Linked DNA regions of Neurospora crassa OR74A. The protein of the gene in region 1 interacts with the protein of each later gene in a biochemical or structural test. Links are inferred from orthologs where the notes say so. Each region holds a gene or a part of one and is shown on either strand. Other genes may lie near its edges. The genes, in order: NCU06091, NCU00493, NCU01992, NCU04404 and NCU10066.

Region 1 (4,102 bases):
TTTTTCTTTTTTCCGTTCTTTTTTGATTTTCGCATCTTCGCTTCGCCTCATTGTCCATCGGTATCTGCCCACCTATCCACACCAATCCTCTCATATCCTCCAAGTAAAACCCAAGCCTCTTACCATCTCCAACCCGTCCTCCTCCTATTCGACCTCGAAGAGAGTAGTAAGTGGGAGACCAAAAGAGGGAAATTAAAAAAAATGTTCATCATCATACCTACCCTACCATACAAGGAGACGAGGTGAAGATATTAAGTAAAATAGTAGGCCCTTCTGCGCGGTTGCTTCGCTGGTGTGATAGAGTGAATCAGGTAAAATGCGCTGCGTCCTCCGTGTTGTTGGATCAGGAAGGCCGGCCTTGACTGACCCCTTGCCCGCTCGCTCGCTCGAAGACCCAGCGCCCACCCACCACCCCTTGTTCGTAGTGTAATCGTGAAAAGGCTTCCTTCCCCCGACTTTCACTCACTCAGCACAACACATCATCATCATTCTCGCTTTTCGGGGTGTCTCCCACGCTTGTCCTCAATGGCTGGGCTGTTTGCTTTCTCACAATTCCCGCCGTGCGCCATTTAGAGCAGGGAGTCAAGGCGAGTGAATACGCTCAAGCAAGCCGCCACGACTTCGAGCTGGAGTTCCTTGTCCTTTGCTTTGTTGACCTCCTGTTTGTTTGGTGAGCATATGTTAACTAAAATTCTCGCTTGAACAGTCCGCTCGGTTTTTTTTTTTGGAGGGGTTCTTTTTTCTCCCTCTTCCAACAGAACCTCTTGGATAAGAAATCATACAAACGTACCTCATTAATAACTTGCGGCAAGTTCGCCCCCACACCACCATTCCCACCAGGCAACGGCCTCGCCGCAAACGGCCACTGGCTGTACTGCAGCAACAGCTCGTCCGCCATGGAAAAGGCGTTTTCCCTCGCCTCGTGGCCGAGGGTACTCAGCGCGTTCTCGAGCACGTTGGCTGCGTGCGCCGCGCACACCATGGCGATTGTCCGCACGTACCGGAACTCGAGGTCCTCGGGCAGGTACTGGGTCGGGGTGAGCACGACGGTGCGCTGCGTCAGCACGTTGCGCACACGCCGTCGGATGTCCTCCTTGGCGGCGCCCTCGACGACGGGGTGTGTGGCCATGTCGAACAGTAGGAAATTGCGCTTTTCCGTGCGCAGGATGCCCTTGTCGACCAGACCCTTTGCGAGCCGCTCGCGGACTTGTTTCAGTTGGTAGCCGATTTTCATGAGGTTCCAGGTTTCGCCTGTGGTATTAACAGGTCATGTCAGCACGTTTGCTTCCGCTTGGGTGTGCACGATAGACATGGGGGGAATGGAGATGGGGCAGTGACGCAAACACGTACCGCTCATCAAGTCAATCCAGGAGCTGACGCTCATCTTCTCGCTCGTCTTCATCATCTTCAGGGCCTCGTCCAGCAACACCTCGCCCGTTAGAGTGTCGTCAATGACTTCGATGATTCGGTCCGCCAGGGGGAAGCGCCGCCGGGAAGAGTCTTTTTGCATACTGATGCGGCCGCGGAAGGCCAGCTCGAGAACAATGCATCCACGAAGAGCATAGGAGATGTTGTCGTTCCAGAACGAAAGGTAGCCCTGATGGGGGTTGTCTTGTTAGCCATGTCGTCTCTCGTCGTGCCCAGGTTCCGAATTCCGAATCATGAAAACAGTCCAAGGAGCAGCACGTGGCGAACGTCAATATCGAGTCCAGCCATAGTCAGAAGATAGCCCTTTGGTAGGCCCCTACAACATACAAAGGGATAGTGTAGCGAGCGAGACTGAGAGAAAGAGAGACGTGGAGACAAACCTCGCGATCCTTGATGCCAAGCAATAAGACCTCCTCCATCAGCGTTAGCTTGGGTTGCTTGCTCCTCTCTGCGCTCTCGCTCAGGTCGCGGGGATCGAAGGCAATCCTGTGTCCGTTCTCGCCCGTCTCGTAGCTCGTGTCGGGCCCAACGTCCCTCGTGTCGGAAGCGCCGCCGCCGCCGCCGCCGCCGCCGACGTCGCTGCTGCCTCCTCCCGCGCCCCTGCGCCGGGTCAAGCCTGATGTTGATGCCATCTTCTTCTTCTTCTTCGTTTTTTTTTTCTTTATCGGGGACTGTTTCTGATGTGATGATTGGGCGGCACGAAGCGAATGTGGTCGGCCGAGTTTGGGCGTATGTGCACTGGTATTATTTCCCCGTGTTTTCGCGGACAGGGGGAATTGAAATAATTTCGGTTTCGCGGTAACACGTGGGGATTAGGATTGCGGATTGGGGATTCGGTAGGCCTGGGTGTAGCCTGTGTTTCAGAGGAAAGGGTAAGGCCGACTAGTAGAGGTAGTAGCCTGGTCGATCAATTGTCCCGAACGTGGAGGTCCGTCCTTCGTTGTCGTCGTCGTCTGGGGGGTGGTGGGAAGCCGCTCTTCGGCGCGGCTCTTGATGATGCGAGTGTTTGTCGTTTCGCTAGTCTGTTGGTGTTCTCTTGGCTACCTCTAGCAGGACCGACGGGGGGGGGGATGGTTAGGTTTGGTTGAGGCTGAGTGGTGGACTCGGGTATGTAGAGGTACGTAGGTAACGGGTCGGTGCTCGACGGGTCCCTCTTTTGGTTGGCACAGGCAGCGCGCAGCAGTGCCGGACGCTGTTTTGTGCAGCGGTCAAAGAAAGAGAAAGTCCAGAGGTGGGATCCCGTCCTGGTCCGCGCGGCGGATGGAGTCTAATCGGGTCAAGAGCCAATCTCAGGGTCCAGTTCACCTGCGGCGCAAAGGGGTTCTAAGTATCAAACCTTAAACTTGGGTGCAGTTGGAGATGGCTAGGTTATGTGTTTCCTGTATATTCTGAATGGCCACGTTTTGAAACGGCTGTTTCTTTGTTCAATGCTACCGAGGGATGAAGTCATTAACCCCTTCCAAGCTTCCCTTGTGGAACGGAACACGGGTTGCTCCGATCATGATAAAATCGTGTAGCATCACCTAGAATTATGTCGGCTTCCAGGCGCCGTGTTAGTGCTTTGATTGCGAATAAAGTAGAGTCCGACCACCCAGCACTAACAGCACCTCATTTCACAGCTGGAATTTAACGCCTACACCGGAGAGCGCCTCGGTATCAGACAAGCAAGAAAGGGAAGCTATGCGTCTCACATCACCAATTCAAGTCACCGGACAAAAAAAGAGAAAAGACTCGGTGAGCTGATAATCACTTTTTAACTCCCTGAAGATGCTGCCTCGCTGAAGAAGAAGGGGGACCTCCAGCCCCTACCTCCTCCCTTCGCCACCACTACTAAAAGCTAGCTAAGTATAAAAGAACAAAAGACAAGGCTTGCCCAGCCTCGTACCATGTTAACCGCTTGTCGTGATCTGGTCCAGTTGTGATATGTACGTGTGATATAATCTCTTTTTCCATTCCGACCGTGCAAAGAAAAAAGAAACGAAAAACCATGAGGAAAAAAAACAAACGCCAAAAACACCACCTGTTACCCCCTTCCAGCAAGAAATATGTACGTAGCGACAAGGCAGAAGAATGGGAAAAGGATATGCCAGCCTCCCGAGCATCTGCCGCTATGCAGCAGCAGTGGTATCAACATCTCTCTCCAAAAAGACAAAACACCCCTTGCTGAACACCTTATCCGACGCTTATTTCTTCTTACCACCGAATCCGCCCTCGAATCCAGGCCTGCTCTTACCCTTGGAAGCACCTTTTCCTCCACCCTTACCGCCCTTGCCGCTCTTGACCTTGATGCCCATCTTGCGGGCCTTCTTCTCGTCCTGCTTCTTCTTGATGTTCTCCTCGCGCTTCTTTGACCTATCGTACTGGGCCTTGGCGACGCCCTCCTTGCGCTCTCTCCACTCATTGGCGCTCTTGCTCTTTGCCTTCTCCTTGCGCTTGACAGCCTTCTTGAGCAGGTGCTCGTCGTCGTGAACCTTCTCGCCCTCGGCACGCTTGCGAGCAGCGAGCCACGTCTCCTTCTCAAGGACTTCCTTGCGCTTATCTTCAGGCAAGGCCTCGAGGCGCTTCTTCTGCGCCTCAAGCTTGGCAAGCTTGGACTTGGCGTCCGTGGGGCCCTTCTTCTTGGTTCCGTCGGACTTGACAAAGGCGGCGTCACGAGAAAGCTGAACACCATCAG
Region 2 (4,298 bases), on another chromosome or scaffold:
CTGAAGCTGCCCATTTGGGGACATTTTGTAGGATCCGTTGGTGACTTTCAGTTGGATGATGTTATTTGGACGTGGAAAGCAGCGGCTAAGTGGTTCCAGCCTTCAACTCCGGGACGCAAGATTTTGATTTGAATGACACGCGCAAGTCCATAACTTGGCAAGTCGGTTTGTATGTTTGGGGGATTTCGGTTTTGGTTTGCTAGACCTACAGCTTCACTTGCCTCGGCGTGATGTTGTTGTTGTTGTTGCTGCTGTTCTGCGATTCAGTCGTGTGGTCTCGTCCTGCCTGTTGATTCAAAACACAGTGCAGATAGAGCAGTTGCCACAGTAATAGAAATACTGTGCAGGGGCATCCGTACTGTGTAGGTATGACCTTTACAAGCTTACCTAGCGAACTACACACATCGACATCAATTACCATACTCTGTGCTTACAACAGCGATGATTGAGTTGGATAGCTCTTTGCGTAGATAGGCTTCTTTCTATATGGTACTGGATCATGAGGGTATCCATCCCCTTAAAAATGCGTAGGGCTCGTAGCTTACATGTTACTTTCAAGGATCCCGGGAGCGTCAAAAACCTCTTGTTCAAAAAGTCAAGTATGACCTTGGGTATCAACGGAAGAAAAGGAATGACAGCTCGAGCACCCACTGGCGCGGACCATGTACAACAGTATTCATTATAAAGGGAGTTGGACAACTCGGTTGCTTCCCATACATTACTCTAATTCTGGTGTGGAAGATGATGATCGAGACGCCTGGCCGGCATGCTACGGTCGCCCTTTTTTGGTTCTGCTCAAAACAATGACAACAAACCCTACTCAATGAGGAACTTGTCGGCCACCGATCTGATGTCCTTGGAAAACGAAACCTCTTCACCTTCATCCACCAGCTCAACAGATTGAACCTAGAATGTGTCAGTTGTTCCGTCTTTACCCGTTTTTCTGACATGAGGGGGCGACATCTTACATCAACCTCCACGAACGGCCACGACTTGGAGAACCGTACTTGCATCGGGAAGAACTCGTTCTCGTCATCGGTCTGCGCCTCAAACTCGAATGATCCGCTGGCGTTCTCCTCGCTTACGGTGCCTATCGACCACTCTAGACTGTCACCAGACACCTCATACACAGCGTCGAAGCTAGACACCTGAGGCTCTGCGCTCGTGTAGGGGATGACGACAGTAACGTCCTTGAGGGTATCTCCGCCAGTGAGCTCGTACTCGACCGTCAATGTGCTGTTGCCATCCGAGCCCTTGTTGACCCAAACGGTGAAGCTGATTGGTAGTGCGCTGGTGTCGTCGACTCTGGGACTGGCCCGCCACCTTAGAACTCCGACAGAGTTGTTAAGGGGGAAACCCTTTGTGATTTGAGACAACTGGATAGCCTGGGAGCTATTGAAGACATTCTTATCGACGTTCGGGTGAGTGCGGAACTGGGCGCCGTGGGTGGGTGTGGCGCTGAGGTTGAGCTTGATCCTTGAAAGCGATGGGTCGGAGACGCGAAGCTGGAGGTCACCGCTGACCGAGAGGGATTCGAGGGCACCATCTCTCGACAGCTTGGCACTGATTGCCTCGTTGATAAGGACGTGAATAGCATCCCTGTCGAGTGTCGAAGAGACTCTGGAAGCAGCAGGCTCTGCGGCAGCTGCCGGCGCGGCTACCGGAACAAGGGGCGCTTCCTCGGCCTCGTGTCCAAGATCCCCCTTCACGCGCTCGAAAATATCCGTATTCTTGGACTTCTTGCCCAACTGCATACCTTTGCCCTTTGGCGCATTGAACCTAGAAGAATGTGAGCTTGCAGGCCAGCCTGAAAAGAAGAGGGACTAACACATACTTGACCTTGTTCTTCTCGGCTTCGTACGTATCATAGGACTCGGTGACAGCAGGTCGCACCGGCGGGGTGTATGTGGGATATACCGGCGTCCGGGGTACCGCGGACCGACCAGTTCTGGCCGACTCCTTGCGCTGCATCTCCAACTGCTTGGCTTTCCTCTTGCGCTCTTCGGTGGCCTCCAGCTCCTTGTTGCGGGCAATGATTTCCTGAATGCGCTCCTCGTGGCTTTCCATCTCGAGGAAGGTCTTGATCTGGCTGATGGTGAGGTTCTCCCGGTAACCGAGAGTCACCAGCTCATCGAAGGCGCTGAGCAGTTCGTAGGCATTTCGGAGGATTTCGCGCTCGTCAAGGCTCTTGCAGGTGCTGGTGACAACCTGGGCAAAAAGGTGGAGCGAGTCGATGTCCTGAAGGATGTTGGACTGCTTGTTGGTGATGAGGACCATGTACAGCTCGTCCAGGGGCTGGTAGACGAATCGGACATTGTCTTGCTCGACAATGGTGTGCTGAGTACCCGAGTCGGCGGCCTTGGGGAACGAGGCGAGGAGAGCTTCGATGCGGGAGCGCTTGATGTCGTTGAAGGCGCGGGCTAAGACGGCCTTGCCGCCGCGGGTGCAGATGGAGGCAGCGAGGACAACCTGACATGTTCCGTCAATCGCTTCTTCCCACCAGGAGACAGGGATGGATGAGTTACCATTTTGACAGCAGTAAACAACAACCACGACTACTGACTCGAAGGGCGCTTCGTGGTAGTGCAGGGAGCTTTGGGATGCGTTGGAGGTAAGTCGTGAGCTTCACCTCCTGAAAGTTGTCGTGGACGGGAAGGTTGATGTGGTCTTTCCGTTGCCGTGCTGAGGTGTGCTGTCGGTCAGGTCCAATTGAACTGAAGGTGCCATCTGGAGGGACCCAGCGGGCAGCGATAGGTAGAGGTACCTGGACGGCAGCTTCACTGCAGCGTCAGGGCAGTCGGGTTCAGGCGGGCCAGGGCAACCTACTGCGTACACGGTGGCAGCGTCCTGGCCGGCCGACGAGGGGCTGCCAGCTGGCAAAAGAAATCCAGGGGCACACCATAGATACAAGTACAGTAGGTAGGTACCTCTAGGCACCCACAGGGCCCGCTAAACTCCATGCGGCACTTGCTTAGGTTCAGTTTCCTTCCTATGATCAATTCTGCGAATTTCACCGTTGTCCACACACTGCGGCAAAACCAACAACTGCACCTCTTTCTTCAACACGCACAACAGACGGCCCCGTGTGTCGAAATTTCACGATTTCCATTTCCATCCAAACCATCGCCTACCTCGAAAAACCATCCGCCATCGAGAAACTTGTTTCTCAATCGCGTCAAAGCATTGCCCAGCCAATACGAGTCTCGATTACGGATCATCAAATACCTACGCTACCTTTGTGACACGCCTCGTCATCAAGAGCTTACTCGACTCCGTTGCACTTCACCCACCTCCCAGCTCCGCCGCTCCGTGAAAGTGAGGCATCCCGATTATCTGCCTGCCGCGTTTCAGCATTCCATACCTCGATTCGATGTGCACTTTTGCCCAGAACATCCGCCCCAGAACTCTTAACAGCGGTTAAATCGTGTTGTCGGATTCCGCCAGTCCACGTGTCGCCTCACATCCCTTCACCGTTTCATTTTGCGCCCCAGAAGCGCCGTTGTTTGTCGGGCGTTCTTTGTCGAGTGCGGGGTTGCCCATTCTCAGCCATAACTCCAGAACCCGTGGTCTCTATATGCCCTACGGCTTCGCTTCCAAGAAGAAGTCACAGCCTTTCAGTCCAAGACATCCACCGAAACCCATCGCCAAGCTTGGGGTTTTGACCAGTGCACCAATTTTCTACGTCTTCGCTTCTTTCATGACGCTTGCTGGACGTACAATTTCTTGACAACGGCAATACGTCGCACCTTCTTAGAAACTTCGTGGAAGTTTTGCGTCATTTTCCAAATTTTCGTTCTTGATCCAACTCACTCGTCTGTGGCGCGTGTTTTGATTGACCCGCCAACCGCCAATCATCATGGAGCAAGTTAGCTTCGACGTTCGTGCCGAGGCGGGGAAGGCGGTATTTGACGATGACTTGATGCTAGATGCCGGCATGCCAGCCGACGAGCTTGTCTTAGAACTCGACGACCTACATGACAAGGAAGATGAGTACCAGGCGATCGATCTTGATGCCCAACCCGCCACAGCGGATGTTGAATTTGCTGTCGATGACCTCGAGGCTCAGCATAATACCAACGATGAGCAAGCAGAGGCGGCAGGCGGCGTCGAGCAAGATGCTCAGGATGTCTCCATGGCATACAATGACGAGATAGGTTATGAAGAGGAGGAGGGCGTTGCAGAAGAGGCTGTTACTGAACACGAGCCCGAAGATACCACTATATCAAAAGCGCCGTCTGCAAATGACGAGAATCCAGATCTACGTGAATTGGAACAGGAAGCCCAGGACGTCCAGATTG
Region 3 (4,280 bases), on another chromosome or scaffold:
AGTCGCTTCCCGCCAGGTCAAACTCGGCAACCTCGTACTCGTCATCGTAGCCGGTTTCTTCAGGCTCACCGGTGCTGGGATCAATCTCCTTGCTGGTGAACTTGAGGACGTTGGAGAAGGTGCTAACTGGTAGCGAACCCTCACCGCTGACCTTTCTGAATGCCACATATACCTTTCCAGGAACGTCGGTCTCGAGCTTCTCAGCCTGAATAATGAATAATTCTTCAAGCTCTTCTTCCGCGGGAGTAGCTACGACAGAGACGTTCTCTAATACGGTGTCGGGAAGGGTGTTCTTGACCTCGTACTGGAGCACAATATGCTCCTTGAAAATATGCTTGACAACTCCAACGACGTATTCGGTCTCCGCCTCGGTCAACTCTACCACCGGCGACGACTTGAGAACGGCGCCAAATTCTGCCATCTCGGGAATCTGCATCAACTCCTGCGCATATTTTTGCGCAGCTGCCGAGGCAGATGCGGCTGCCTCGGCGCTGGTGGGAGCCGCCTTGGTTGGTCCGACCTTGGGTGGCTTGAGTGAAGGTGTCGTAGCAGTAAGCTTCTTGGTCCTATCCTCGGCATCTGCTTGTTCGCGGGTAACAACAGGGATCTTGGAGATGTCGAAAGGCGCCTCGAATGTCGACCTGTCATCAGAAGTAACATACGTGACGAGCTGATGCTCGAAAAAGGGCAACGAGAACATGCTGTCTGTTGACATGTCAGTATGTGATCGCATCCGGCAAACGTAACATAAAGTAGACGAGAACTTACCATTCTTGACAAACCTGTTCGCAAGCTCATCCTCTTCCTTCATAAGCTTGAGGTTGAGAGCAGCACGATCGCGAACCTCGTCATCAACATCATCCAGACACCTGGTGAGGAGAACCTCTACGCTGCGCTTGACTTCAGGATCTTTCTGGCCGACACCAAATTTGGCAAGGGCAGTGACCGCTGCGGCGCGCACAATGGAGTTCTCGAGAACCACCCGGTTGTAGATGTATCGGATGTACTTGGTAGGCTGGGATGTCTTGGGTCCCTCAAGACCGAGGAGGTGAAGGACACGGACTGCCAACTTGGTGAACTCGCAGTCCTCAATAAACTCGCACAGGTGAGCGAGAGCCTCCTCCTTAGATTCGGGGACGAACTTGATAAGATCGAACATGCTCTCCACCACGGCGCGCTTAAACTCATAGCCACCCTCATCGCGCAAAATACCACTGAGGAACTGGAGCATGCCGGCCTGCTTGCTGGGAAACTTGAGGCATAGAGTACGGATGGCTTCGACAATCGTAATCTTGAACTCATCGGTGATTTCAGACATGAAGCCAGAAATTTGCTTCATCAGACGATCCACGCTGGCCTCGTTTCCGGTCTTGAGTAGGGTAGTAATGGCAAAAGTAGCGATGGAGCGGTTGCTGTTGGAGATGAGGAGCTCAATGTCCGGGTTGCATACAGCAACGGCCGCCGGCTTGAACGAAGCGAAGTTGTGGAGAATGCGAAGAGCGGCGAACTTGGTGACAGCGCGGGGCGAGGTAAGGAAAAGTTGGAGGACATGGACTGCCTGGGTGACCTCAGCGTCGGTGACATCCCGCATATCGCAAATCGCCTTTGCGGCCTCGAAGTTGACCATTTCGCTCTTGTGCCTGAGCCAGCCATCCAGCAGCTGCATCATGGGCTTCCTAAGGTGTGGGTCTTCGTCGGCCAGCTGGGCGGCAAGACGGACGAGCAACATGAGAGCAGCGGGGTTCTTGACGGCACCGGGAGCACCGAACTGCTGGACCATCTTCACCAACGCCATCCTGTCGTGCATGCGCATCTGATAAAGCAAGCCAATGGCATGGTATTGGGTCATAGTCGAGCTGTTGATGGGCAGATCTCTGTTGGAAGATCCGAAACCGAGGGAGAAACCGCCGGTAGACTTGGTGTTAGCTGCCGCTTCCGAGGTCTCATTCTGCCACCGTTTGACGACGTCCTTGGCGACGGGGAGAAGGTGATATGACGATACGAGGGCGGCAGAGGATACTGAGGGGTTTCTGTCGACAATGGCCGTCTTCATGACACGCTCGATGGACTGTACTGTGGTGGCCTGCACAAGGTCGGGGTTAGCTCCACATCGGATAACCATTAAGGGGTCGAGGAAGGGGGAGGCTTACATCGATGATGCGGCAAAGGGCGCGGATGGCATTCGGGCGGTAGATGGCATCGGTACTACCGCCAGTATCCTTCATAATGGTGCTGGTAACCATAATAATATCCTCGGCCGAGTTGGCCAGCTCCTTGATGACAAGGTGGACCATCTGTCGTAGGCTGGCATCTTTGTTCTGGAAGAGCTTCGAAATACCAAAAAACAGCGTCGTGGCTTCGTTTGTCGGGAATCTTTCGCCGGTGTAGAGGAGGAGAGCAATCTTGGTGAGGAGGATACGACATTTGCGCGGCTGAATGGGGGAGTTGTTGAAGAGGCGGGCTGTATGTCGAACCGGTCAGTCTTGAGGAGGTTAGGAGAGTATAAGGGCCACGTCCACCCGACGAACAATGCCTCAGCTGCCAAGGTACTCGGACTCACCCTCCTGGAAGACCTGGGTCCGGTCGACCTTGACCAGACCCGTCTCAGCATCCTCGTCCTTTTTGCCGTAATTCATGGCGGGCAGGGCGACGATGGGTGCTGGAGGTGTGATGTGGATTTGGGAAACCCAAGTTGTTGTTGTTGAGGCAAGTAAGTCGAGGCTAGAACAATAGAGGTACGAAATAACGGAGTAGCGTGTTGCCTGTGCGACGGTGCGGCCAGCAAGCGGGTATCCCCAAACCCGCGACGTTGCCAATTCCACTGCACAGTCGAGGGGGAGTCCACTGAGGTGTCAGGGAGTCCGTGCTCCCGGGCCACGCTGCCAGTCTCGCCAGTTAGAGGCTGAAAGCCTCCCGGCAGGAGCAAGCTTCTCCATGTGCATCGTCAACCTCAAGGAGCGGGTGTTACAGCGCACAGACCACCCTTCCAATATGTACATACCTAGTTACCTCTACATAGATGCTTCCCTCCCGCCTCCTGAGTAGATCATCGAGTTTAATTATTTTCAATATAATCACACGGGATGTTGTTCCTGGAAGACAAACTTGACATTGTTCAACCTGCCAGGTCACCTCACTTGTGCTTCTGAAGGAAAAATAGAACCAAGATTGCTAGTACGTAGTAATCACCATGATAACTATTGATACTTTACTTGGACCTGTTCAGTGCCAAGCTTTACATCCCACACTCGGTCTAGGTGGCCGCCTTCCCTTTCGGCTTGAATGACAGCTTGATACTGACTACTTTACTCAAATTGCATTATCGTGAGCCCTTCTTGCTGTCAATTGGTTCTCCTCAACGGTAGTCCCAGCCTGTACTTAAGGATACAGTTGGTCCGAGCATCCATTGTACCCATCTCTTCCTTTTCGTCTTCCTCCAAAAGGACATATAGCCTTGCTTTGGCTCATAAAAGCATGATTTGTTTTCTAGTATGTTTGCTTGCTCTCTTTTGGGGCGTACTCTTAGGCACAGCTTCTTATATCACTCTCCTGCTACGGCCCTCACCTGCGTAGCATCAGCGATCGGATACACAAATGGACCCTATGATGTGGAAGCAGCTTCTATCGCTTCTGCATCGACAGGCACCTCATCTGAGACCACTGCCGAGGCCTCGGGTTGCGCCTCAGTCTGTACCTCCGCCTGTGTTTCGAGTTGCATGTCCGGTTGTTCCTCGCCCTGCACCTGCGCTTGGTCCTCCGCTTCGGCGGCGCTTGCTTGCTCCTGCATCGGCTCTTGCGCGTGATAATCAGTATTGATGGGAAACCCGTTCCGGACGTCGTCTTCCTTGCGGTCGGGATTTTTGCCGCATGCCTTCACAGCTTCTTTCTCTTTTTTGCCCAGCACAACGAGATCAAAGGACGGAGGCAAAATAGCATCAGCCCTGTACCAGACGTGTCAGTAGCGGCCAGATAAGGTTTAGTAAGCAAGGCGTCAAGTCACTCACTTTAAGAAGTCCTGCTTTAGCAAGCGAGCTTTGTCTCGCAAAGCCTGCTGGTCACGAGGGCGCTCAAAAGGGATTTTCCCCTCCTTTATTTCCTTCTCGATGACGCTCCATTTACACTTGTACGTATCCACTGCCTTGATCAACATCCTGATGTCATCGCGAAGCCAGGGTGACCGACTCTGTGGTCCTCTGGCTTTCCGGTTAGCTGCCGAGAGCTCTCTCGAGCGTTGCGACACGGCGTCGAGGTCAGGCTCAGCCTTCGTGCCTGAGGACGGT
Region 4 (4,120 bases), on another chromosome or scaffold:
CTCGACGGTAAGGTTCTGGAGGGTCTCAGTTGTTTGGTTGACGAGTAGTACGTCTAGTACAATGTCGAACTGGTGGACCTTGACATAGGCCTCAGCATAAACAGGGTCGGAGAAACCGGTGAGCTGGACAACGCGGCTAAGCTTGCCAGATAGGTCCTCAGCCGAGCTGTTGTCTCCACCAGTGGCACGCTCGAGATCGGCATCGAAAGCATCAGCCCCATCAGTGGCATTCTTCTTGGAAAGCTGGCGGATTTGATAAACATCGTCCACCTGGGTGGCCGTCTTTGCCTTTTGGTGGGCCTCTTTTGCTGCGCGCTTCTTCTCCTCAACCTGGACCATCGCCCTGAACGCCTTCCTGGTATCCTCGAGATAAACGGTCTCCAACTCCTTGTGCGCGGTGAACTCGGCAAGGGAGCGCACACAGCTCATGATACGATCCACCGAATCTTCATCAATAGGGGCCTTGACGAACTGCGACTGACCAACACGAATGACGGAGATCATGATGAGCATAGCCTCAGCGCGGAGGGCGTTCGTGCGAGCCTCTTCCGAGGAGATCTCGGCATGACGCATGACAAGCTTGGTAAGGGTCGATGCGAGAACAGTGGCAAGGTAGTAATCGCCGTCAAGGATAAGTTGCCTGAGAGGGGGCTTCGACGAAGCCTTGACAGCCTCCAGGCGTGCAGCAGCTGTAGACTGGCTGGTAAGGGCAGTCTCGGTAGCGTATGTGCCGTCAGCAAGGACCTTGCGTGAGCCAGTCGGCGCTGCCCTTGAGCCATTGACCTGCTCCTTCTCCTTCTCCTCGGCATCACCATCAACATTATCCAGCAACCGTTGCTCGGATGCCAAGATCGGGATCTCACCCAGGCTTGCCCGAATTCTCTTCCATGCGTCCCTGATATCCTTCTCCTCAAGCGAGTACTCGCCGATAATCCAGAGAATACCGCGGTAGATCTTACCAGCGCGGACTTCACTCAGGGTATCTACCAGTCTCGCAATGATTGCTGGCCTGAGCTGAGGGAACTTCTCGACGACCTCCTTGACAAAGTTAATAACATCAACGGCGGAGTTGTTGTTGAAATCGGCAATAAAGTCCATGAGCAAGCCGACGACGCTAGCGGCGACTTCGGAGAACTTGATAGCGCATTGATGGATGGAGTGGATAAGAAGCTGGCGGTACTCGTTGTTCTTCTCGTACTCCTGGTCAACCGTCTTGGACAGCTCCTTCTTGAGCAAAAGCACGACTTCCTCCACGTTCTTGCTGGAGACCATCTCCAAAGCGATCTCGAGACCCTTCCTCCGCACATCGATATCCGTGCTAGAGAGAACGCGCAACACCTCCATGGTCAGGTCGTCCAGGACGCCGGGGTTCTTTTGGCGGAGTTGATCGACACGGTCCAGAACGATAAGCTTGACATTGTTATCCGCCTCCTTGATCGCAAGCTCAATGAACTTGCTGGCAGCAGCCTTGACAGCGACAGGGTTGTTGGTGAGGGCCGTCAACGACGAGGCCGCTTCGTAGATAACGGTCGAGGCACTAGCTTCCAAAAGGTCAAAAATAAGACGGAGGTAGCGCGCCTTGTTCTGGGTGTTGACAACAGCATCTTTCCTGATGAACTCCAACTCGGCCAACTGCAAAAGCTCATCTGCGTTGGGAATACCGTCAAAGACGGTGCTGAGATAGAGAAGAGCCTTGTCGTGGTCGATGCTGGCAAGGGCGGCGAAGCCATTCCGCTTGCAGGTTGGGTCGCTTTCGCCTTCGAGGAACGTGGAGATCAAGTCCGCAGCATCGGGAATAAGCGACGGGGAGTGCTGGTAAATGGAAGCGACAGCAAAGACGGCGTTCTTTCGGACATAGGCATGGCGATGTTCGAGACAGCCCCGGGCTGAGGAGAGCAAAGGCTCGAGAAGTTCGGCCTCCCGCAGCTTGCACAGGAAGCGCAGCGTGTTGCCTCGGATGTACTCGTTCGGGTGTTGCAAGTCGTTTCGGATGCCGTTACTGCGAGGCAATGGCTGGTCAGCTTGGAGGGGCCAGCATGCCCAGACGGACACGGAATGCCTTACCATACTAGGATGAACTCCTGCTTGAGCTTCCCTTGGGCATCAAGCTTGGGGCAGATCTCATAGTAGAAGTATAGAAGCTTCTTCAGGGGCTTGGATTTAGAAGGCATTACGAATCGGATAATGTGCATGAGCAATTGGGGCATGGGATCGCCATTGAGCATGATGGTAAGAATGCGCTTCATGGTCTCGATCTTGGTCTCGTCGGTGCCCTTTTCGAGCTGCGTCTTGAGCTCCTGCACGGTTGGGGTGCCGTCGACGGCATTGTCCTTGACCAAGCTGTAGGCATTTTCGAGGAACGACATGTTGGAGAGCTGGCGGCGGCCGGGCCGTCTTTGATTAAAGTTGAGATTGAATTTGGTAGAAAGTAGCTGGCCGGGCGTCCTGAAGAGGAGTCGCGGATCGAAATTAGAGAGGGGCGGGTGTGGTAAGGTGTTGTTTGCCCCGTTGTAGGTTGCGTGGTGCTAGTAAATGGATGGACTGAGTGGCTGCCTCGAGCTCCTGAAGAGTGACGATGAGCTGGCCTTGGTGCTGGATGTGGTTTCCTCCCCCTGGACTGACAGGGTCGTGGTTGGCCGAAAATCAAGAGACGGCTGCGCAATGAAAGGGTTGTCTGGAGTGCGCCGGCGAGGTGAGAGAGCGGAGCATCACCTGTGCTTGTTGTTGAAGTCTGGAAGAGCCAGCGTGGATAGGACGGTCAATTCTATCGAGAGACGGCCCCTGGGAGATGTGGCATTCTGGCCGGCCGCAACAGCACACGGCGAAGCACGGACCCCCCGACACCCTTACGGCCTCACCAAGCCTCCATCTCCTGGCCGAGTCTGCCATCTGCCAGCTTGTCCAAACAGTCGAAGGATCACGTGTAGATACGGATTGCCAGCTGTCAGGAAGGCTCGTGAACCCGGAGTCAGCTTGGAGCCCAAACAATGCCCCTGGGCCAAGCTGGGGTCAAGTGTGGGGCCGTGTGCCCCGCCAATGTCACTGGAGCGTGGCCGCGCGGGCGCGACTTTCAAGGTTGTCCATCCAAAAGCGACAGGAACCAAGCCGCTGGCTGCATCTCTGCCTCTTGTCTTGCAAAGCCTACTACTGACAGAAGCAACAAACAGCCATGTCAGCCGCCAACGAACCCTTCTATCTGCGCTACTAGTATGTACACCCCTACGGGATTCGATTCACTCACACATTGAAAACACCATGCTAACAGCCGGCTTAGCTCTGGCCACTCGGGCCGCTTCGGCCACGAGTTCCTAGGTGTGTTCAGCCATTTGCGCCTCGAGACGCAAGCTCCCACGTTTCCACGACCACGATGCTAAACTACCGCCCTTTGACTACAGAGTTCGACTTTCGCGTCCTCGGCGACGGACGTAGCGCCACTGCCCGATATGCCAACAACTCCAACTACCGTAACGACAGTCTGATCAGGAAAGAGAGTAGGAAACACTGTTTAGCCGGCCGTGGACATCCATATACTGACGAGGGTCTCTTTTAGTGTGCGTCAGCTCTCTGGTCATTGACGAGATCAAGCGCATCATCAAGGACAGCGAGATTATGAAGTACGACATCATGTTCACCCTTTTATACAAACAACATGGAGCGGCTGCTGACAGGCCAACAGGGAAGACGACGAGAAATGGCCGACCAAAAACAAAGACGGAAAGCAGGAGTTGGAGATCCGCCTCGGGAACGACCACATTTCATTCGAGGTGCGTCTTGCCAGTGTCGGAATCTATTTCTGCAAAATGTTCAGAGCTAATACAGGAAATAGACTGCCAAGATCGGATCGATCAACGATGTTACGGACTCGGCCGACCCAGAAGGCTTGCGCGTCTTCTACTACCTCGTTCAGGACCTCAAGGCGCTGGTGTTCAGTCTCATTGCCTTGCACTTCAAGATCAAGCCCATTTAATCTTCCGACACGAACGAATACCCCGAGTTTGATATATCCTTACTCATGGAAAGGAGAGATTTTGTGGGATAATGCGGCGTTTTATAAAGGCGTTCTTTTCTATCTATTGGCGGCGCAGATGGGTTTCTTGAAACTGGATTTAACATGGATAAC
Region 5 (4,032 bases), about 970 kb from region 1:
TCCTGGACGAACTGGAGCGCAATCTCAGGGTAGCCCTTCTTCTGAAGGTAAGCAATGATTGACTGGCCAACCAAGCTCGAGTTCTGGATGATGTGTAGCATTTCCTCGTAGTTACGCTTGACAAGCGCAAGCTTGAAGCGGTACTCGGTGGGGTCAATCTGCAAAATCTTGGGCTTCGCAGCACGATCAAGGCAGTACACGTTTCTACCCTTGACACGGGTGAGGTAAACAGTCTGGTCGAGGGTGCAAACGATGCCGTTATCGCCATTAAGAAGCGTGTACTTGACGTGGTTGAGAGTCGAGTAGAGCAGAACACCGGCGTCATCCCACGCAGCACTCTTGAGACGGATAGTCTCATGTAGAGTGCTAACCTGCTCCAGGGTCTTGGTCACAATTGTCACATTGTGCTTGCTGAGCAGAGCGGCGTAAAGACCATCGTTAGACCAGACAACGTATTTGACGCCAGTTACAGCCAGCTCGGCAGTGCTCTTTCTCTGCTGGATATCGTAGAGGTGAACAGCGGTCGGAGTAATGATGAGGAGGTTGCCGGTGCCGCCGAAGTAGATGTCGGTAGTGCCAACAGGGGGCTTGAACGATCTCGTGGTGTTGTTGGTCAAGTCCTTGATATCGACGGTCTGGGTGGCAGTGTTAAGAACAGCGAAACGGTTGCGAGCCACAAAGACAGCGGAGTTGCCCTGGCCCCGCTTGGATTCTGTGGGTTCGATAGCTCCAGAACCATCGCGAGGAAGGGTGATGAGCTCGTACGACCCACCATCCGCCGGGGAAGTGACCAAGATTGACCTCTCCGCGGGGTTGTAGGAGAGCGTCCTTGGGGGCACCCAAGGGCTTCCGAGCTTCTTGAGCGACAAAAGCGTGGGCGATTCGACATTCTTCTGGAAGTCGTACATCTTGACGTGCTTCTCCTTGGTGATGTAGAAGATGTTGTTCTGATAAACGGCGGAAGCGGGCCTCTCGCGCTCGAGCTTGAACACCATAACACCATTGTCGTGACCAGCAGCGAACAAGTTGATTTCCGGATGAGCAGCGATGACCCAGATCCTATCGTTCTCCCGCTTAAAGGTGTTGACTACGGTACGCTTGTTAAGATCCCATACGCGAATCGTCTTGTCCTCGCCGGCCGAAAGGATAAGGTCCTGGTGGGGGTGGAAAAGACAGCCGCTGGCGTTCTGGAAATGGCCGCGGCAGGTATCGACTTCCCACTATGGATGGTTGGTTCAGTCAGCAAGTTGTCATCAGATGCACAAATCCTCACAACACGTACAGCCTTGGTCTCGCTCATGCGCCACAGCTTGATAAGGCGGTCATCACCGGCGGACACGATCAAGGGCATGGTGGGGTGGAAGGCAACCCAGTTCACACCGCGGTCGTGGCCCTCGAGAACGAACTTGACAACGGCGTCGGTATTGCCGAACATGTCGGTCTGGTTGGCATTGGCGCGAGCAACTTGGTCCTCGAAGGACATGGACGTGGGCGCGGAGTGCTTCTTGCGGAGGCCCGAGACTGTGACAAGACAAAATGGTCAGCCATCCATGTATTCCGCAGATATCCATGCCATCTTTCCCAGCTAAGGCACCACGTACTATCCCAAACGCGAACAGTCTGGTCGAGGGAGGCGGAAACGATGAGGTCCTCCTTGGGATGGAACTGGGCGCACATGACGTAGTGGTTGTGGCCCGTCATGGTGCAGAGCAGGGAGCGGTTCTGCCAGTTCCATATCCGAATCGTCTGGTCGTCACTAGCACTGACAATCCAAGGAAGCTCGTGGTGGAAGAAGACGGTGCGGATGTAGTCCAAGTGGCCGTTGAGTGTAAAGAGGCAGCGCCGAGTCTGGAGAGACCAGACCTTGATCTTGTAGTCGTCACCGCCAGATACGAAGAGGGGCTGTAACGGATGTGTAAGCTAGCTGTCGATAACTCGGGTTCGGCGCATCGAGGGAACAGGGAGCTCACCTGTGTCTTGTGGAAATCAACGCCGCGGACGGGGCCATCGTGCTCTTCGAATCGGTCAATCAGGGTACCCATGCGGTAGTCCCATAGCTGAATGGTGGAGGAGTGGAGGGAGACGAGAATCCATGGTCTGGAGGCAAGGCCATGTTAGTTTCGCGTTTGGTTTTCTTGACAGGCGTAGACATCAAGACCCAGGTCAAGTGACGGGGGAGCTTCTGCTCTTTCGTGGGGACGGAGAGGCTGACCGTTTGGGGTGGAAGGCGATGCCCTTTGCTCGCGACGACTTGGACTCGAACTGCGCACAGGGGTAAGGTAAGATGTTAGACACGCTCGAGCTGGGGAGAAGGCACATGGAGAGTGGACGACAAGCAACGTACTTTGGTGAGCATTCCCGAGGAGGCCTGCATCTTGCCAGTGGCTTTAAGGGGAGCACAGCCTAAGCTCCCGGCATCAACGTGGGAAAGGTGGATTAAGTATTTAAGTGGGAGACGGGGGGAATTAGGACGCGATCAGCCGAGACGCCGTGAAGTCGCAAAATACTATGGGAGATGGGGATTGCCGTTCGGAGGGTGGGAGGAGGAGGAGGGGTGGTGGTGGCGGCGGCGGCGTGGTGGTTTGGGGAATGAACGGAGCCAAAGTGGAAAGGAAGTGTCGAGGTAGACTGAGTGTCGGGTACAAGCTGAGTGCTCAGTGTAGGACCAGTCGTTCGAAACAAGGTCCGCGATGGATGCCAGGCACTCACAATCAACTAACGGAGCTGAGGTGCTGGAGTGGACAGGACGGTCTCGGGCGGCGGCTTCAATTCCACTTGTTAGGATCCATACTACCCTTACCTGTGTGGTAGGGAAGCGTGGCATCTCCATCGCACCGACCTCACCTCCCCATTCAGTGCTGGCGGGCGCTGCAGCTGCCACTCGCACAGCACCTGTCTGTCCACTGCAGTTGGGGCCTTGCAGACACGACTGGCGTGGCCTCAGCGGGCAGCGGCACTCATCGATTCCACCTAGTCGTGCACCGCCACGCCATAAACACACAGAGGATCCGCAATTCAGGGGCTACGGCATGCGTAAGCCTCATTTAAGGGGCCGCAAGTCAAGGGTCGCACCAGCCACAACCTCCCATGTGAGACGGATGAACCCTGGCGGCCACCTGTACACAGCTTCCCTCAGACGCTAGACCGAACTGGGCGAGCTCTGTTGCTTCACTAGTGTACAACTGAACAGCCGGGGCGAGGTGTTCACACGGCAGGAACCTCAGCGCCCACTTGTTTGTGAAGCTATCCCCAATTTCACCACTCCATGTGTATCTGGTGACTTTGCCAGATTACCGAGGTTGTTATTTTGTTTGAACGCTTTTGAGTAAACCGGTGACCTCTTACTTGTCCCGTTTTGTATAGCTCTATTTACAACACCAACACCAACACCACCACCACCACCACATTCGAGCTGTGCCGTTTCACGTTGGTGACATCCAACGTGGCACCTTTTCTCATCCCACTCATGATTGAGCTTTGAAAACAGGCAGCCATCTCATCGAGCAATCTTCTAACTCCGCATTACCTCCCTGCGTCACCATAAATAAACCTGCTTCCTGGTCCAGACAACCATGATCCGTCTCTCCCAGCTGCCGTGGGGTCTAGCGGCAGCCATTGTCACGGCGACATGGCTTCCCTCGCACCACGTTGCAGCTTCTCCCTCTGTAGACGTCGCACTCAAGGCCGCGTTTCCTTCGCCTCCGTATCTGGTAGAGCTCCTGTAAGTTCCCTGGCCCTCCTCCTTCACTCGCACCGGACCATTCTCACATCCGAATCCAGCGAAACCGCGGCTTCCGAAAATGCTACTGCCTACTTCCCACTGCTGGACCGCATTGCCAAGGGAGACTTTGCCCAGGCCAAGTCCGACAAAGAGCTCTATGAAAAGTTCCTCCAGGTTCTTCAAGAAGATGGGCATGTGAATGCTGAGGCGCTGTCGACCTTCAAGCTGGCTCTTTCGTTGCGGTCCGCTGCGCCCCGTGTCGAGGCTCATTATCAGTACTATACCACTGCTGTTGAGCCATATGTAGTGGC

Evidence for each region.
Region 2: the proteins of NCU06091 (region 1) and NCU00493 form a complex in vitro, tested with the Saccharomyces cerevisiae proteins (2 studies listed by BioGRID). The link is inferred for Neurospora crassa OR74A from reciprocal best matches to the Saccharomyces cerevisiae genes VPS74 and RET2.
Region 3: the proteins of NCU06091 (region 1) and NCU01992 form a complex in vitro, tested with the Saccharomyces cerevisiae proteins (2 studies listed by BioGRID). The link is inferred for Neurospora crassa OR74A from reciprocal best matches to the Saccharomyces cerevisiae genes VPS74 and SEC21.
Region 4: the proteins of NCU06091 (region 1) and NCU04404 form a complex in vitro, tested with the Saccharomyces cerevisiae proteins (2 studies listed by BioGRID). The link is inferred for Neurospora crassa OR74A from reciprocal best matches to the Saccharomyces cerevisiae genes VPS74 and SEC26.
Region 5: the proteins of NCU06091 (region 1) and NCU10066 form a complex in vitro, tested with the Saccharomyces cerevisiae proteins (2 studies listed by BioGRID). The link is inferred for Neurospora crassa OR74A from reciprocal best matches to the Saccharomyces cerevisiae genes VPS74 and COP1.

What each region holds. Positions count from the first base shown.
Region 1 is NC_026507.1:1,845,070-1,849,171, forward strand, and holds the start of NCU06091 (vacuolar protein sorting-associated protein 74), read right to left. Parts: upstream 2,809-4,102; 5' UTR 2,061-2,808; coding exon 1,809-2,060; intron 1,598-1,808; coding exon 1,351-1,597; intron 1,252-1,350; coding exon 791-1,251; intron 660-790; coding exon 570-659; 3' UTR 1-569. Other genes in the region: NCU06090 (hypothetical protein), read right to left, coding at 3,612-4,102.
Region 2 is NC_026503.1:4,047,234-4,051,531, reverse strand, and holds NCU00493 (coatomer subunit delta), read right to left. Parts: upstream 2,809-4,298; 5' UTR 2,529-2,808; coding exon 2,526-2,528; intron 2,470-2,525; coding exon 1,835-2,469; intron 1,780-1,834; coding exon 969-1,779; intron 907-968; coding exon 817-906; 3' UTR 457-816; downstream 1-456. Other genes in the region: NCU00494 (hypothetical protein), read right to left, coding at 1-24; NCU00492 (hypothetical protein), read left to right, coding at 3,857-4,298. UniProt on the Saccharomyces cerevisiae protein: The coatomer is a cytosolic protein complex that binds to dilysine motifs and reversibly associates with Golgi non-clathrin-coated vesicles, which further mediate biosynthetic protein transport from the ER, via the Golgi up to the trans Golgi network.
Region 3 is NC_026501.1:1,752,642-1,756,921, forward strand, and holds the start of NCU01992 (coatomer subunit gamma), read right to left. Parts: upstream 2,809-4,280; 5' UTR 2,637-2,808; coding exon 2,561-2,636; intron 2,462-2,560; coding exon 2,151-2,461; intron 2,084-2,150; coding exon 769-2,083; intron 706-768; coding exon 1-705. Other genes in the region: NCU01991 (hypothetical protein), read right to left, coding at 3,602-3,941, 4,005-4,280. UniProt on the Saccharomyces cerevisiae protein: The coatomer is a cytosolic protein complex that binds to dilysine motifs and reversibly associates with Golgi non-clathrin-coated vesicles, which further mediate biosynthetic protein transport from the ER, via the Golgi up to the trans Golgi network.
Region 4 is NC_026504.1:3,471,439-3,475,558, reverse strand, and holds the start of NCU04404 (coatomer beta subunit), read right to left. Parts: upstream 2,805-4,120; 5' UTR 2,367-2,804; coding exon 2,065-2,366; intron 2,000-2,064; coding exon 1-1,999. Other genes in the region: NCU04405 (mago nashi protein), read left to right, coding at 3,170-3,207, 3,275-3,312, 3,396-3,491, 3,551-3,614, 3,677-3,764, 3,827-3,967. UniProt on the Saccharomyces cerevisiae protein: The coatomer is a cytosolic protein complex that binds to dilysine motifs and reversibly associates with Golgi non-clathrin-coated vesicles, which further mediate biosynthetic protein transport from the ER, via the Golgi up to the trans Golgi network.
Region 5 is NC_026507.1:2,814,657-2,818,688, forward strand, and holds the start of NCU10066 (coatomer alpha subunit), read right to left. Parts: upstream 2,806-4,032; 5' UTR 2,375-2,805; coding exon 2,345-2,374; intron 2,263-2,344; coding exon 2,213-2,262; intron 2,098-2,212; coding exon 1,971-2,097; intron 1,903-1,970; coding exon 1,602-1,902; intron 1,522-1,601; coding exon 1,283-1,521; intron 1,221-1,282; coding exon 1-1,220. Other genes in the region: NCU02349 (UDP-glucose:glycoprotein glucosyltransferase), read left to right, coding at 3,573-3,721, 3,781-4,032. UniProt on the Saccharomyces cerevisiae protein: The coatomer is a cytosolic protein complex that binds to dilysine motifs and reversibly associates with Golgi non-clathrin-coated vesicles, which further mediate biosynthetic protein transport from the ER, via the Golgi up to the trans Golgi network.